Linked DNA regions of Canis lupus familiaris. The protein of the gene in region 2 binds, or shares a complex with, the protein of the main gene of each other region. Links are inferred from orthologs where the notes say so. Each region holds a gene or a part of one and is shown on either strand. Other genes may lie near its edges.

Region 1 (8,114 bases), on a different chromosome or scaffold from region 2:
GCAGCATTTTGGAGAGAGGCTGGGCGGCCAGCAGCTTGCGGGCGCCCTGCAGGGAGATCACGTAGGCCAGCGTCCAGTAGGAGTAATCCGCCTCCACCAGGTTCCTCACACGGGGCACAGCCTTCTCTGGGTGCTCCACCTGCATCCGCTTCCGGCCCACGTAGCTGTGGGGGCAGAGTTTGGGCCCTGTCACCCTCGTCCCACCCGCTGGAGAATGCTGACTGAGCAAGTCGGAGATCAGAGATCAAGTGAGCCTCCATCAGGCCCTGGGGTGGGAGCGGGCTTGGCGGGTTTGGGGAGCAATGAGGAGGCTGGTATGGCTGCTGGACCAGGGAGGACCACAGGGGTCTGGGATGTGCAGGGAGGAGACCGAGTTTTTTCCAAGGGCACTAGGGAGCCATGGAAGAATTTGGAGCTGGGAAGGACAGGACGTCCTGGACACTCTCTGAGGCCAGGAACGCGCTAGGAAGGAAGCTGCTCTGAATTCAGAAGACTGTGGGGCAGCTGGGCAAGGTGCAGGAATGGTGAGTAGGTAGGGATGAAGGGATATGGCTACTGTTCCTATTACTAGCATGGTCCAGAGTCTTCAGCCTAGAACCTACATCAGGGCTCTGCACATAGGAGGAGAGAGAGAGAGATGGTGGGAGGACAAACCAACTCACCTACAGGAGATCCCAAAAGGCTGTTCCAGAAATACGCTAGCCACATCCTACTTAGTGCTGGTCTAAGACCCAGGCTCCCTGGCAATGCCCCACACTCAGCCATGCCCCGGATCCTGGGCACACTCCCAAGCCCTGACCACACCTACCCCAGGCCACACCCCAAGATCTCCAGCCATGCACACAGGCTTCCAGGTCAAATCTCTGCCACACCCCATCTCCTACAGGTCTTAGCAAGTCTCCAAGCCCTGACAAAGCCCCGTCCCCACAGGCCAGGTCCCTAGATTTCCCGGTCATCCTCACAGGCCTGTGGCCCTACCCCCCAGGCCTTAAGCCAAGCCCTAACTGCTCTCAGATCCAGGGACCACAGGGCCCCTCACACAGGCCACACCCGAGTCCCCTTCTGCCACAACCCCAAGAGCTGGCTGGCCTATTAATTTGCAAAGGTCCTCATGCCTACAGGCTCTGGGCCACACTTCTGAGCTCCAGGCTCCAGCTTCACCCTGCTCCAAACTTCACCCCTGAGCCCCGGCCCCACCCCAGCGCCACCCAGGTGCAGATCACACTACCAGCCCTGCCCCACACTCACATGAGGTCCCAGTCCAGACCCTCCCGCTCCACGTCCCGCATGAGGTTCAGCAGGCGTCTCTTGAAAAAGATCTCAAAGCGCAGGTCATCCTCGAAGACCAGTGACTTCTGCAGCCCGCGGTCCACGACCTGAGGGGGGTGCCCTGCCCACATCACATGGAGGCCAAGGCCAGACCTGACCCTGACATCAGCTCTGCTTAGGCCTGGGGCAGCAGGAGAGAAGCAGACACAAGCCCTCCTCGCCACCTACTGGATCGACCTCTTGGCCATTGGCTCCCCTCACACATGGCAACAGGTGCCCTGGCCTTGGCCTTGCCTGAGCTGCTCCTTCCCACCCCAGGGCCTATGCCTGTGCTGACACAAAGCACCCCTTGTCATGGCAGCAGGCAAGCCCCCAGCCTTCAGGCCTCGGCTCAGATGTCACCCTCCCCAACCACCAACCACTGGCCAAAGCTGTCAGCTGAGGACAATTCATGGCCCTGCTGTGGGTGCATCACACTTGGTTTATTGTGGTTTGCCATCAGTCTCCCCATTTCCCTGGGCTGTGAGCCCCCTGCAGGGGTATGCATCTGTCTTAGGGGCTGTCAAGTTTCCAGCACCAGCACTAGGCCAAATGCACAGTAGGTGCTTGGGTGCTCCCTGAATGCACTTGACAGTCCTCAAGACTGAGGAGGGTGACTGTCATCTGCAACAACAGGGACCCTCCTTACAGAGCTTACCCCTCTACGAGGTAGGGCTGGACTTGACACCAAGTCCTGGCCCCCTGAACATGGTAACCTCTGCCCCACACCCTCTATGACAAATCTCACTCAGGGAAAGAGCACCCGTCACCTCAAATGCCTAAATGCCCTATCTGGCCTCATGCTCCGTGGTTCCAGGTTTGAATCTCAGTCCCCACCTATCACAGCCCTCCCTTCTGAGGGTGGCTGGCAAGCCCCTGGCATGGGGTTAGCATTGCTTACTGTCCCCATGGCCGTTACTCCTAATGGTTGAGCACAGAGTCCAGGTTCCAAAGACATGTGACAGCAGTTGGGTGGGAAGAGGCCTTGCTTGGGAGTCCTGGGCCTGAGACCCCCCTTTTTCAGGAGCCAGGCTCAACCCATCCTCCTTCCCTAGTCTGCTTCCCCATCCGCATAATGAAAGGACAGCAGCTGCCCCAGCCAGGGTGCAGGTGACATGCAGGTGAAGCGTTCTCTAAAGACAGGCCCTGCGTCCTGCTGAAGTCTCAGGGTCCTGCAGGGGGTGCCCATGAGTCCCTCCCTGAGCGGCCAGTGGGGGGACCGCCCTGCCCTCCCCTGCCAGACCTACCTCCTTCCAGATGTTATAGTGGCTGAGGAAGCAGCCCAGCTCGCCCTTGGTGAGAGGCCGCCCGTGGTAGGGGTCACGGTAGCCGGGGAGCATCTGGATGCCCAGCGCCTCCACCTGGCTGGTGTTCATGGCTCTGGAGGTGGGGGAGGCGGGTCAGAGGAAGACCCACTGGGCCTGCTGTGCCACCATTAGCGCGCCCCTCTCTCTTCCACCGTTAGCACCTCTCCTGGACCCACGAGGCCGGGGCTGCCAGTGCATGGTCTACACCCCTGGACGGACCTGCTCCCCGCTGGCCCCCCATGCCCCGACCCGGGGAGAGGGGGAAACGTACTTGCCATCTACGGCCTCTACCAGCCGGCACTCGATCTCCTGCTCCTGCAGCGCCCGCAGCATGCGCTCCCGCCGATCCTGCCGCCGCTTCAGGTTGATCATGAAGACCTGCAGCCAGAAGCTCTGGTAGGACCCTCCGGGCGGCCCCCGCCCCACCCCCACCCACGAGGGAAGGCCCAGCTCACCTCGTCAAAGCCCATCTTGTCAGGTGTCTTGGTGGGCACTGAGATGAACTTGGAGGGCTCCGCTGGTGGGTGCTTCACTGTGGGGCAGACAGTGCCAAGGGGTCAGTGGGGACACTGGGGGGGTGGGGAGGAACAACGTCCCCTCCCCAACCTCTCCAGGAACCATTACCCTAAGCTCCTTGGCCTGGCATCGGAGACTGTGCCTGACACCGTTCCGCTCACAATGTTGGTGCTGGCCTCTTTACCCCCCACCTACTCACCCTGGCTGTTGACACTGCCCCAAATGCACCCCTTCCTACCTCAGGACCTTTGCACATGCTTGGCCTTGGCCCAAAACACCTTCCTTTCTCCTCTCCTTTCCCTGACCTCCCAACTAAGATAGTAATCATCGAAACTATTAGTCTATTTATAGACTTGAGTTGGACCAGGATACCTTATCCTAGCTCCCACAGCACCTGGCCTTTGATCATCAAATCCCAATCCTTCAGCCCTACCTCCCTGGCTTCCTGTCTCCCATGAACCCCGTAGGACAGACACCAGGTCTGCCCACTCATACTGAGTCCCCAGTGCCCAATGCTTGGTACACATCAGGCACTCAATAATTATTTATAGAATGAACAAAGGAATGGTGCCAAGCTGTGTGACCTTGACCTGTCGGGGCCTTGGCTTTCCTCGTCTATAAAATGGGACTCCTATTTTATTTTATTTTGTTTTGTTTTTCTATTTCATTTCATTACAGATTTATTTTATTTAATTTTTTTAAGATTTTATTTTATTTATTCATAGATACAGAGAGAGAGAGAGAGGCAGAGACACAGGCAGAGGGAGAAGCAGGCGCCACACAGAGAGCCTGACGTGGGACTCGATCCCAGGTCTCCAGGATCATGCCCTGGGCTGCAGGAGGCTCTAAACAGCTGCGCCACCGGGGCTGCCCTACAGATTTATTTTAGAGAAAGAGTCCACAAGCAGGAGGAGGGGCAGAGGGAGAGAGAATCTCAAGCAGACTCTGCACTGAGCCTGACATGGGGCTCAATCTCAGGACCCTGAGATCAAGACCTGAACCAAAACCGAGAGTCAGATGTTCAACCGACTGAGGCACCCAGGCACCCCAGGGCTCCTAATTTTAAAAACCTCCTCCTCACAGAGGCTTCAGGAAAAGATGTTGTAAAATGACACACATTATGGGTTGAACTGTGTCCTCCCCAGCATGTTAGCATCTCAACCCTCAGTACCTCAAGATGTGGCCTTATTTGGAAATAAGGTCTTTATAGAGATAATCAGATTAAAATACTGACTGGGATTCTCATAAAAATGAGAAATTTGGATACAGCCATGCACACAGAGGGATGACCACAGAGACACACAAGGGAAAGGTGACCACGTGACTGGAGTGGCATGTCTACCAGCCAAGGAATGGCAAGAATCTCAGAGTGGTCATGACCACTGCCCTTCCAGCTGCTGTGAACAATGCTCAGACCAGACCATGTCCCCAGAGCCCCATCTTGGCACATCCCTGGTGGTCTCCCTCAGAATGACCAGATCCTTGGATGGATATGAGGCCGGGGTGGCTTCTGCACGCCCACCGCCTGACCCACAGGGGCCCAGCCTGACAGTGAGTATGGCATCTACCCCATCAAGAATAAAGGCCCTATATGAGCCTGAGGGACAGACAAAGCCCCCCTCTGTCTGGGACAGGCCTAGGTGAGGCCCAAAGCCAACCTGGGCTCCCTAGGGACACTGCATCCCGGGCTTTCCTCCTGCCCAGGGCTCTTCACAGCTCTGGCTACTCCCCATCCTCTTTGGGGAGCCTGGAGACCAAGGGCCAGATGTTGGGATCTGAGGACCCGGGTCCAAACTCCAGGTGTCGTTTCCCTTTTCCCGAGGGTCTGCCCCTCCACTGGGGAGTGTGGAGGCAACAAGGCCTGCCTGTGGGACGGAGGGTCTCCTCACTCTTTGGCATCAGTTCTGTAAAAACGGAGCACACCAGACATCCAGAAGGAACAAAGCAATTTAGTCTTTCCAGAAAGTCACATCACAGTGGTTATAAAAACCTAACACCTCCAGGCCCATCATGGGGTGAATAACCAAACTTGCCCAAAGAAAAATCTGGCTTTGTCCCCCAGCTTCTGAGAGGTGGAAGCCCTCTGAACATCCTGCCTAATAAGACTGGGGCCTGGGGTGGTCTATGCCAACAGTGTGATTTAGGGCAGGAGGCTTGGGTCACGTGGAATCAGCTCGCCCTCTGCAGGGGCTAGAGACGGAGGTCACCCATGTGGTAATCAGCCAGCTCCATGTGGGTGAGCCCCAGTAAAAACCATGGACACCAAGGCTCAGGGAGCATCTCCGGATGGCAGTACACCCTGCATATTGTCACACAGCAGTGCTACAAGTGAAAGCTGTCCACACGACTCCACAGAGAGGGAACAACCGGAAGTTCCATGCTTGGAACTCTGCTGGGTGCCACCCCAGATACCTCTTCCCTTTGCCAATTATCATCGGTGTCCTTTTGCTTGTAGTAAACAGTAACTGGGAGTGTAATGGCTTCCAGGGAGTCCTGTGTCCTTCTAGTGAATTATCAAACCCCTAGTCTGGTCTTGGGGGCCCCATGACCTTGCAGCTGTTGTAAGAAGTGAGAGCAATCCTGTGGATATTTCCTTACTTGGCACCCACGGATGCATGTCTGGAACTCCCTCACACGCATGCTTGGGAAACTCATAGCAACCCTGGGGACAGTGGGAAACACCCTGTATCCCTCATGAGAAGACTTGTAAGTGACGTGTGATGCAGCCAAGACTGGATAAATCTGTGGTTAAACATCTACGTGTAACACTATGTGGCAAGGCGAGGAACAAGCCACAGCTGCACATGGCAGCCACGCTGGCACTGGTGGGACACTGAGCAGAAGACATGGCACTTGAGAGAGGCATGTTGGGCGATTCCACTCATAGAAGAACAAGACAGCTACAACCCATCGGCCGATGAAACTGGGGTGGCGGGAGGGCCAGGGCCTGGCCTGGTAACAGGATATAAAAAAATCATCATACCACATGCACACCACCCATTCCCACGGTGTGTGCTAACACTCAACAAACAGGATTTACACCAAGCAAGGTATATGGGGCCGATAGGGAAAGATGCCCCACTGTGCATGAGCAGAGGGAAGGAAGCAGGCTGTAGGATTCTCCATTCACAGAGAACCTTACTGAGACTTCCTGCAGGCCTGAAATTTCATCGTAAGACAGACTTTTGAATTCATGAAAAAAAATCACAGGCACAGACCAGGTCCAGGTATCCACATAATGGATGGAGAGAAAATGTCTCCACTCAAACCAGAAGGAAAGATTTACACAAATATCTGAATCTTCCAGACCCTCCTTCTGTTTGTTCTATATACTTTGCTTGGGCCCTAGAGACACAGGAAAATATTCACCCCTCTGGTGACTTCAGTTTCTGACAATAGTGTGAATGGTTTCCTGACCAGAAATGCATTAGAAACTTTAAACTAGGAAAACTAGGGATGCCTGGGTGGCTCAGTCAGTTGAGTGTCTGATTCTTGATTTTGGTTCAGGTCATGTTCTCATGAGAGCTCCACGCTGGGCTCTGCTGGGTGTGGAGCCTGCTTAGGATTCTCTCTCTCCCTCTCCCTCTGCATTACCTCTGTTCATATGCATGCTTTCTCTCTCTTGAAATATAAAAAATAGTAAAAATTAAAATAATAAATAATATAATAAACTAGGAAAACTATCGCAGCCTCAGAGACATTTCTCAGGGGCCAGTTCCCACTGGAGTTGGTAACAAGTAGAGACCTGCCTCTGTGACTGCAGCCTGGTGAGGCTGCTGGACCAGGTCTGGGCATCTGTGTGTGACAAACACTAGAATATTGCAGGGGTCCATACTCTGGTGACCCTGCAGCCTCCAGGTATTACCTCAAAATACCCAAAAATCTCTCAAAACAAAGAGGGCAGGTGCTATTCCATCTTCAGCCACCAGGGGGTGCCATAAGCAGAACTTTCCAGGGCTAGGTTTAAGAGTGGAAAAGGAACTCCAGCGCAGGGCAGGGCTCCTCCCAGTCTGTGCAGTGGGAGGAATGGCCATGCTGCCTCAGGGGCGTTCTGGGGGATATGTGTGGCCGGCACAGGGTGCGGCCCTCATGGAAGTAGGTATCATATCACTGGGTGGTTGCTCTGGAGCTCCCCAGCTGGGGCAGGAGTCCCCTCCTCAACCTTGATGGCAGCTCAGCCCTGTGTGCTTGTCTGATCTCAGGCGCCCACTAGAGGGACAGCTAGTTTAACAGTTTATGGATTTATTTGTCTATATATTAAAAAGATATGAGCTTGCAACTACAGTAAAAATATCTAGTTCCCTTTTTTAAATAAATGTATTCAAGCGGGGGAGCCTGGGTGGCTCAGTAGGTTGAGCATCTGCCTTCGGCTTAGGTCATGGTCTCAGGGTCCTAGGATTGAGTCCTGCACTGGGCTCCCTGCTCGGCATGAGGAATCTGCTTCTCCCTCTCCCTCTGCTCTCCCACTCCTTGCTCACTCTCTCTCTCAAATAAATAAATAAAATCTTTTTTTTTTAAAATGTGTTCAAGAGGGAAAAAAAAGTGTGCTTGAGATAAATATTAAATAATGGTGGGTCTGGGGTTTGGTAGAGGCATGGATGAGGAAAAGCCCAAAATAGAGAGGTGTCCCAGACATGCCATGCACATAAAGGTCCATCGGTGGAAACCTGCTAACCCTCTGCTCCTGCACCCTCTATGGCTCCCAACTGCCCTTGGGAAAAAGGCCTGTCTCTCAGCTTGGGTGTCCAAGGCCCCTGTGCTGGCCCTGCCTGCCAGCTCTGCCCCCTTTACCTCCTTTATTTTCTGCCCCTTTATTTCCCTGTTCTCTGAACTATTCTCTGAGCTCACGTCCCCTCCAGCCTTTGCATGTGCTGCTCCCCGCAGCTGTGATCCTCTTCCTGGCTAACTCCTCCCCCCTACTGCATCTTAATGTCACCTCTTCCCAGAAGGCCATCCTGACAGCTCTCAGGATGCTGTGCACAG
Region 2 (7,088 bases):
GCTGGATGGGGGGCTTGGGGTGTCAGCATACAAGAGAGGCACTGGGGTGGGCTGGGGTGGGGGGGTGGTGGCAAGGCACACAGCCTGAAAGAGGTCCGGGAGGTGGTGCAGGCGAAGTAACTGGAACCAAGAAGAGGACAGGCCAGGGACAGGTGCCTGAGGGTGTGTAGGGGTTGTCAGGAGGCCCAGGGCTCAAGTGTGTATGTGCGTGTGTGGAGAGGCCCTGCTGGTGCCCTGACGGGGGAGGGCACTCGGGGCTCACCTCATAATCCAGGCCCTTGTGGTTGAGGGCCACGTTGAGAGTGAAGGTGGATGAGTCGTGATGGGGCCGCAAAGAGGGCTGCTCATCTGGCCGGTAACGGACCACAAAGTTCATCACTGCCCGGGTCTGTGGGGGGCACGAGAGAAGAGGTGGGAGGGATGGCCGTGAGGTCACAGGGTGGGCGGGGGCGCTTCTGAGGAGGTGAAGCCTCAACCCAGTGGGAGGAGGGGAGGAGGGCTGCAGGGATCTTGGCCCTTGGGGGTATCCTGCGAACTCCCCGGGGGGCTGCCATCCAGTGGTATCCCTTCCCTCAGGACTCCAGATGCTACAGGAGCTGAAGGAGCACCATGTGCAGACTTCCAGCCAGAACTGGGGTGTGGGAGGAGGCAGGGGTGGCAGCTCACCTTGGTGTGGTAGCCTGGGAACAGGCTCTCTGTCATGGGGCCCACGTACGTCCTCAATAGCTGCAGCCACTGGTCTTCATAGCCCACCTGCTTCATATGGATGTCCACAGTGGGCACATTCTCGTAGCCTCCAGCCAGCCTTGAGTCCTGTGGGCAGTGGGCACTGAGCCCAAATAGGGCCATGCCAGCCGCTCCCCCCTGCTCTGAGGCCCGAAAGCTTGTGTGACGTGCATTTAGGAGCCTCGACCACTCTACCTGACTCCCTCTAACTCACCCTGAAGATGGTACCTCTTCTGGGAAGCCCCTTGGTCACCCCCCACGTCCAGGCCAAGGGCCCCTCCTGTGACTCCTACAGCATCTGGGCTGCCCATCACAACCTTCAGGAGCAGGGCTCCTGCTATTGCCTATAGCAGGTGAGGTGCAGGAGGGCAGGGCTCAAGCAAGTGCTCTACACCAGAGCGCCCAGTTCAGTGGTGGGTGTCGCAGACCTGCCTGCCTGGTAAGGAGTTTCTGAATGAATGCATGCATGCAGTTGTGCCCCCCCTGGGTCCCCAGCACTCTGGGGGCCCCACCCTGCTCCGACTCTCATGATTCCATTTCCCTTCATCACAGCTGCACCTTCCCTGCCCCAGGGGGTGGGGAGTCCTCCCTGCCCCAGCCCCTCTCACCTCATGCCGGCCTCCTGACCACTGGCCATAGTGCTCCATTTCCTCCACCAGTTCGTCACACATCTGGTCGGACAGCAGGGGGAACCAGTACACATCTGGGCACGGCTGAGGACAGACAGGGCAAGAACAGGGCGGGGAGATGCTTGCAGACCTCTTGGGGAGCAAAGCAGCCAACCGAGGGGAGTAAAGGCAGGGAGCAGGGATGCCTGGGTGGCTCAGCAGTTGAGCGTCTGCCTTCAGCTCAGGTCGTGATCCCGGGGTTCCGGGATTGAGTCCCACATCGGGCTCCCCACAGAAATCCTGCTTCTTTCTCTGCCTATTTGCTTCTCTCTCTTTCTGTGTCTCTCATAAATAAAATAAAATAAGATAAAATAAATAAAATAATAAAATAAATAAAATAAAATAAATAAAATAAAATAAAATAAAAAATAAATAAAATAATAAATAAATAAATAGATAAATATAAAATAAAATAAAATAAAATAAAATAAAATAAAATAAAATAAATAAAAAAGCAGGGAACAGAAAAGGAAGCCAGGAGATGGGAGAAGCTTGGGGATTGGGACTCTGAACATGGGGGCTAGCCAGGAAAGGCTGGGCCATGGAAGGCAGGTGTGGCACCGGAAAAAGTACAAATGGCATATGGCTGCCGGGGCTTTACAAAACTGTCATGCCACCCATAATACCAATAAGCCCGACAACAAGAGAGGATTGCTCTGATCAGTGGCAGGGTGGGGAGCCGAAGGCCTATCTGCTGGGCCTCCACCTTTATCTGCCTAAGCAGAAAACCCTCAGACACCCAAGAGAAGTCGGTTTGAAAATGACTAATCCAGGCAGGCGACTCAGGGGGTCAGGGGTCCTACATGGGGCTCACCTGTTCCACGAGCCCCTCCCCTTCAAGGGCCCGGCTGTAGTTCTCATGAATGTACTGCTCCTTCCAATCCTGAGGGAGAGGGAGGGGTACACACCTCCATGGGTGCCCTCTTCACTCCCTCAGCTCCCACTCAGGAAGCCCCAGTACCACAACCACCACCACCTCTCCCCACACAGTTGCTGAACTTGGGAGCAAGCGCTTGCACATGTGTCCAGGTGCCTGCATCCTCCCAGAGTGGAGGGCATGTCCCATTCTCTGAGCAAGCAGTTGGCTCTCACCAGGGGGTTGTCGAAGATCTGCCAGAGGTCCGGGTGCAGATGGTCTGTGTCATACCGGGAAGTGGCCAGGAGGCGGCCAAACTCGTGCTGATTACTAAGGTGGAGGAAGATGCCCTGGAGTGGGGGGGGAGGGTGTGAGGAGACATGGGTGGCTGCTTCTCTGCACCTCAGCTTTGGGCGCCCAGGCCCCACTCACCTTATCCCGCAGGCTCTTACAGAAGGCCATGTCTGGGTCGGTGTCACTGCCTGAGAACACCTCCCTCTGGGGCAGCTCTGTCCTCAGGGTCTCACCACGGATCACGTATGCCTGGGATATATAGGGCACATTCCACACGCCCCTGGAGGCACCCACGCTGGGGTCAGATCAGTGGGTGGCCCTCTCCCCCAAATTCTGCCCGGTTCAACCCAGGAACCCCTTCCTTCAGGGCACCCCACCCTCCAGGCCAAAAGGTCCCATCGCTTCCCTGCTAAGCACTGCTAGTCACAACACCTCAGTCTGCTCCATAGTCAGCCCCAACTCTGCAGGGGTGGCACTTCTGACTGGTGGCCACTCTGGACCCCCGAGAGCAGGGAAACGGGGGAGCATGCAGGTGTTTATGGTCTCCTCCCCAAGGCCAGACAAGAGGGTTTGCAGCCCTCCGGCAGGACTCACACTCGCTTCCGCTGTACCAGCTCCACATAGTCCTCCGAGCGAGCGTAGTACTCATCGGGGCTCAGGGCTCCCCAGAAGTTGGACCACAGCTTCCCGTGGCGGGACAGCATGGGTGCTATCACCTTCCTGTGGACAGGCAGAGGTGAGCCCTGGGCCCCAGGAAGGAGGTGGGGGCTCCCAGGAGACTATTTGGGGGCCCTCTGGCTGAGTGGGGCAAGTGACCTGTTCTCTTCAATGAGGATGCGCAGTGTCTGAGGGTTGGTGATGACGGCATCAGCGTCCAGGCTGAAGTAGAATTCACACTCTGGGTCCTGCCGACAACTGTCCCTGGAGGTGATAGATCAACGAACACTTGAGCTGAAACAGGAGCAGGTGGGGGAAGGAAGGGACTGTGTGGTAAGTGGAAGAACTCCCCCACCTGTCGAGGAGAGCAAGAAAGTGGGTAGAAGCACCAGCAAGAGGAGAAGAGGAAGGCTGGGGGTGCTGGGGGGTGCTGTGCTTGCTTCCCCAGGACCCCAGGTTCTCCTGGCTGGGAGGGTGCCCCTGTGGAGGCTGAGCATAGGCTCCATGCTACATGGAGCACCCCTTCACCCTTGACCATCCTCCCCACCCAGTGCTCACTCACATGGCCATGTCCCTGGCCTCGCCTGGTGTCAGGGCCTCCTCTGGTCCCACCAGCTTCACAGCTGAGAAGTGGTCCTGGAGCTGGGGCCAGGAGTCTGCGATGTGGGGCTCATGGTACACCTCCTGGAGATGGGAGAGAGGGGTTAGAGAGGGTAGGAAAAATGGTGCCTGAGGGACAGGAGGGGCAAGGAGGTGGATGGAAAGGATGTAAGGAAGGAGTCCGGGTGGGGGTGGGGGGTGGGAGTTCCAGACCAGGTAGGGGCAGAGTTCCTTGGGAGGGTGCACAAGGGAGAGGCTGTCAGAGTGTCTCACGTTGTTATGCAGGAACAGGGTGACCCTGTCAGGGGGGTAGTCCAGGAGCAGCAGCCGCTGCAGGAAGCGGGGCAGGAATGGGGTAGGTTGTTCTACAAACACAGCCAGAAGCACCCGGGGGGGAGGCTGGAAGATACAACATGACGACATGACGGGGCTCAGAGGAGTCCAGGCCCCCAGACCAGTGTGTCCTCTACCACCCTGGCAGGTTGGGAATCCCCAGGAGCTCCCCATGCACTGCTGCCCAGCAGGCTCTCCCTGTGCCCTCTGCCTTGATGCCTGGTCCTGCAGCACCCTAGCACCCCTCCTCACCTGCCCCCCCGGGAGTGTCCTCCGGTCCCGGCCACAGAACCCACAGCCTCCCTGAGGAGTCCAGCCATTAGGAACATAGTTTCCCAGGTAATTCAGCTGGAGCTGTTGGGAGAGGCAGTAAGAGGTAGAAGCCAAGGAGTCCAGCAGCAGAGGTGAGGGAGGTCAGGTGGACAGGCAGGGGACAGGGCAGGAAGGGGAGAGATGGACACTTAGCACCTCTCCCAGCACCTCTGCTGCTGGTGGGGTTAGGGAGGACAGGCTTGGAAGGGCTAGAGGTAGGTAGGGGCAGGGGTGGAGGGTATAAGCCATTGGAGCACCTTAGTAGGACCATTCCCGTGGACCACAACAGGAAGTGTGTCGTAGGCCACATTCCGGATCCGCACACGATTCCGATCAAACTTTAAAACCACCTCATCTGGGGAAGAAAGGCTCTGCTTTACACTCCTTTCCTCTCAAAGCTGCCAAGCAATGATGCTTCTAAGTATGGGATGCGGTTGGGTGGGGGAACCTGGGGGGGCTTCTCTAGAGGATGAAGGACTGTGGCTCTAGGGTAGGGTTCTTTCTCTCTCCCGAGGGTTCTGACCAGGCTCTGGCCACCCTGGGGGAGTTCCTAGGTAAGTCACCAGTCCCTCAGAGAGGCACTTTCCTCCCTGTAACAGGGGGTAAGCCCAGACCTTCCCTTTGAAGGGCTAAATAAAATGACAGAAGTAGAGCCCTTTGTTCTCACCTAAAGCCCCATTGAGGTTCTGAAAGATCCGAGATTTATGATCCAGATTGAGGCTGAGTTTTTCCTAGATGGGATGAGATGGGGCAGGTCACTATGCAGGGAGGTAGGCCAGCACTTCCCACTCCTTTTACATCCTCCCAAAAGTCCTACCCTCTCCTCTCCCCTTCAGCTGGAGGCTGGACAGCCCCCCTCCAGCCTTCCCTACCCTCAGCCCTGGGTCCAGGTAGAGCCGAGTATAGAACAGCTGGTCGTCATCGTCATCCTTGTACTTCCACTGGCGGACCACTTTGTGGATGGTGGGGGCAAAGCCAATGAATCCTGCAGGGGATGGGTGAGCAGGTGCTGACTCCAGGACTCTCAAGGCCCCAGGGCCCAGTCCCACTCCCTCTCTGGCCCTCAGCACCTGGAACACTCCATATGCCCCTCCATATGTCCCACCACTCTTTTCCCTCTGCCTCAGGTGCTCTGCCACTCACCACCAGAGTTGAGGAAGCGCTTCCCTGTGCCCACCTCAGGGTACTGCTCGGCCAGCCCCCACTCGGGCCAGCAGAAGCCCTCAGCGGAGAAGAGCAGGCGACTGCCACTCTGAACGAACTTCTTCAGCAGCTCTGCGGGGCTGCCAGCCAGAATCACATCGTAGCTGGGAGAGGAAGAGGGCACGACAGGACAGCAGGAACCTCAGTATCCTGACCCCCGCCCTCTGCCTCCTGCCTGCCCCTTCTTCTCCTCCCCTTCAGCAGCCCCTTCTTCACCTGTCCACGAACATGATGACCATATCCTCCCGGTCTGCATATTTCTCCATCTCCTTCTTTAGCCACCTGACCTTCTGTCCTCCACCAACCGTTCGGGCCACATCACCCCCTCGCCACTCCTCTCCCAGGCCCAGGGTCTGTGGGGAAGACCCGCCATGCCAGGAGGGGCTCAGTCGGCCAGCTGGGCCCTCCCGACCAGGCTCACCGTGGGGCCCCGGACAGCCCTCTGCCCACCCCTGGGGTGGGCGAAGGAGGGCATTCCTCTCACCCGCACAGTGTAGTTGAAGAACTCCGCCGACCACAGGAAACGCCGGTATCCTTCCGTCTCGGCTGTGGCCACCGTGATCACCAGCAGCTTCTCTGTCACCAGCCGGAATTGGTGCTCAGGACCCACTCGCCCCGCTCACCGCCCACCCCCTTCGCCTCCCTACGACTCTGCTCCAGTCCTTCGCTTTTTTCCAATTCCTTCTTAAACTCGGCCCAACCAGGGGAACCTGGGCCCCAGTTGAGAGCGGATGGGAGTGACCCAGGAATTCGGGGTCCGTTCACGTGGGGAGGCTGGAAATCCCGGCTCAGGGTGGGGAGTGGGCGAGGGGCCGCGGGATTGGCCGAGTGGAGGGCGCGGGGCGTGGAAGAGGCCGGCACCCCCTCCAGACCTCGTCCCCCACCCCGGCCCCCGGGCGGGCACGCAGACTTGGCACCACCCACCCGGCGTTCCCGGGGCTCTCACCTGGGTTGACCGGGTCGCCGCCCCGGGGACGGTCGGAGGCCGAGGTAGCAGGCGGCGGCGGCAGCAGCAGTAGGAGCCCCAGGAGGAGCCGGAGTCCCGGGCCGGAGGAGGCCATGGCGGGGAGCCGGCGCAGACGGCACACAGGCCCGCGGGGCGCTGGGGCTGTGCGCCCGGATCCCAGCTCTGGGGAGGGGTTCTGGGCAGCGCGGCCGGGGCCGCAGGGCGGCCGGCCCCGAGGAGGAGCGGGGTGTGGGCGCCGCCCTGGAAAAAAAGGCGTAGCCCGAGGCTGCTGAAAACTCGAGAGCCGGCGCCGCAGACAAGGCTCGGATTGTCCCCGGGCGTGAGCGCGCCGGCTGCGCGGAGCCCGCGGAGGGGGCGCCCGGCGGGAGGCGGGGGAGGGGCGGCGGCTCGGGCCGGCTCTCCCGAGCCGAGGACTCTGGCCAGAGCCAGCCGGGCCCAGCGCCGCCTGACACGCGAGGAAGCTGAAACCCGG

Evidence for each region.
Region 1: the proteins of PLOD3 (region 2) and COLGALT1 are in contact, whole or in part, in a cryo-EM structure (PDB 8ZGE), measured with the Homo sapiens proteins. The link is inferred for Canis lupus familiaris from reciprocal best matches to the Homo sapiens genes PLOD3 and COLGALT1. Residues at the interface, in NP_001075.1 of Homo sapiens: Leu226, Val229, Val230, Leu231, Lys232, Phe233, Asp234, Arg235, Arg241, Gln261, Tyr264, Leu265, Pro275, Gly430, Ala431, Leu432, Arg440, Glu442, Glu446, Arg452; in NP_078932.2 of Homo sapiens: Ala36, Tyr37, Phe38, Pro39, Glu40, Glu41, Arg42, Trp43.

The regions. Positions count from the first base shown.
Region 1 is NC_049241.1:45,662,539-45,670,652, forward strand, and holds part of COLGALT1 (procollagen galactosyltransferase 1), read right to left. Parts: intron 3,148-8,114; coding exon 3,071-3,147; intron 2,994-3,070; coding exon 2,887-2,993; intron 2,689-2,886; coding exon 2,556-2,688; intron 1,377-2,555; coding exon 1,249-1,376; intron 165-1,248; coding exon 1-164. UniProt on the Homo sapiens protein: Beta-galactosyltransferase that transfers beta-galactose to hydroxylysine residues of type I collagen. By acting on collagen glycosylation, facilitates the formation of collagen triple helix. Also involved in the biosynthesis of collagen type IV.
Region 2 is NC_049227.1:8,578,944-8,586,031, reverse strand, and holds the start of PLOD3 (multifunctional procollagen lysine hydroxylase and glycosyltransferase LH3), read right to left. Parts: upstream 6,940-7,088; 5' UTR 6,711-6,939; coding exon 6,596-6,710; intron 6,226-6,595; coding exon 6,134-6,225; intron 6,003-6,133; coding exon 5,866-6,002; intron 5,754-5,865; coding exon 5,590-5,753; intron 5,432-5,589; coding exon 5,319-5,431; intron 5,178-5,318; coding exon 5,114-5,177; intron 4,802-5,113; coding exon 4,704-4,801; intron 4,489-4,703; coding exon 4,387-4,488; intron 4,201-4,386; coding exon 4,075-4,200; intron 3,886-4,074; coding exon 3,764-3,885; intron 3,466-3,763; coding exon 3,361-3,465; intron 3,265-3,360; coding exon 3,139-3,264; intron 2,825-3,138; coding exon 2,683-2,824; intron 2,601-2,682; coding exon 2,487-2,600; intron 2,278-2,486; coding exon 2,209-2,277; intron 1,440-2,208; coding exon 1,335-1,439; intron 814-1,334; coding exon 667-813; intron 389-666; coding exon 263-388; intron 1-262. UniProt on the Homo sapiens protein: Multifunctional enzyme that catalyzes a series of essential post-translational modifications on Lys residues in procollagen. Plays a redundant role in catalyzing the formation of hydroxylysine residues in -Xaa-Lys-Gly- sequences in collagens.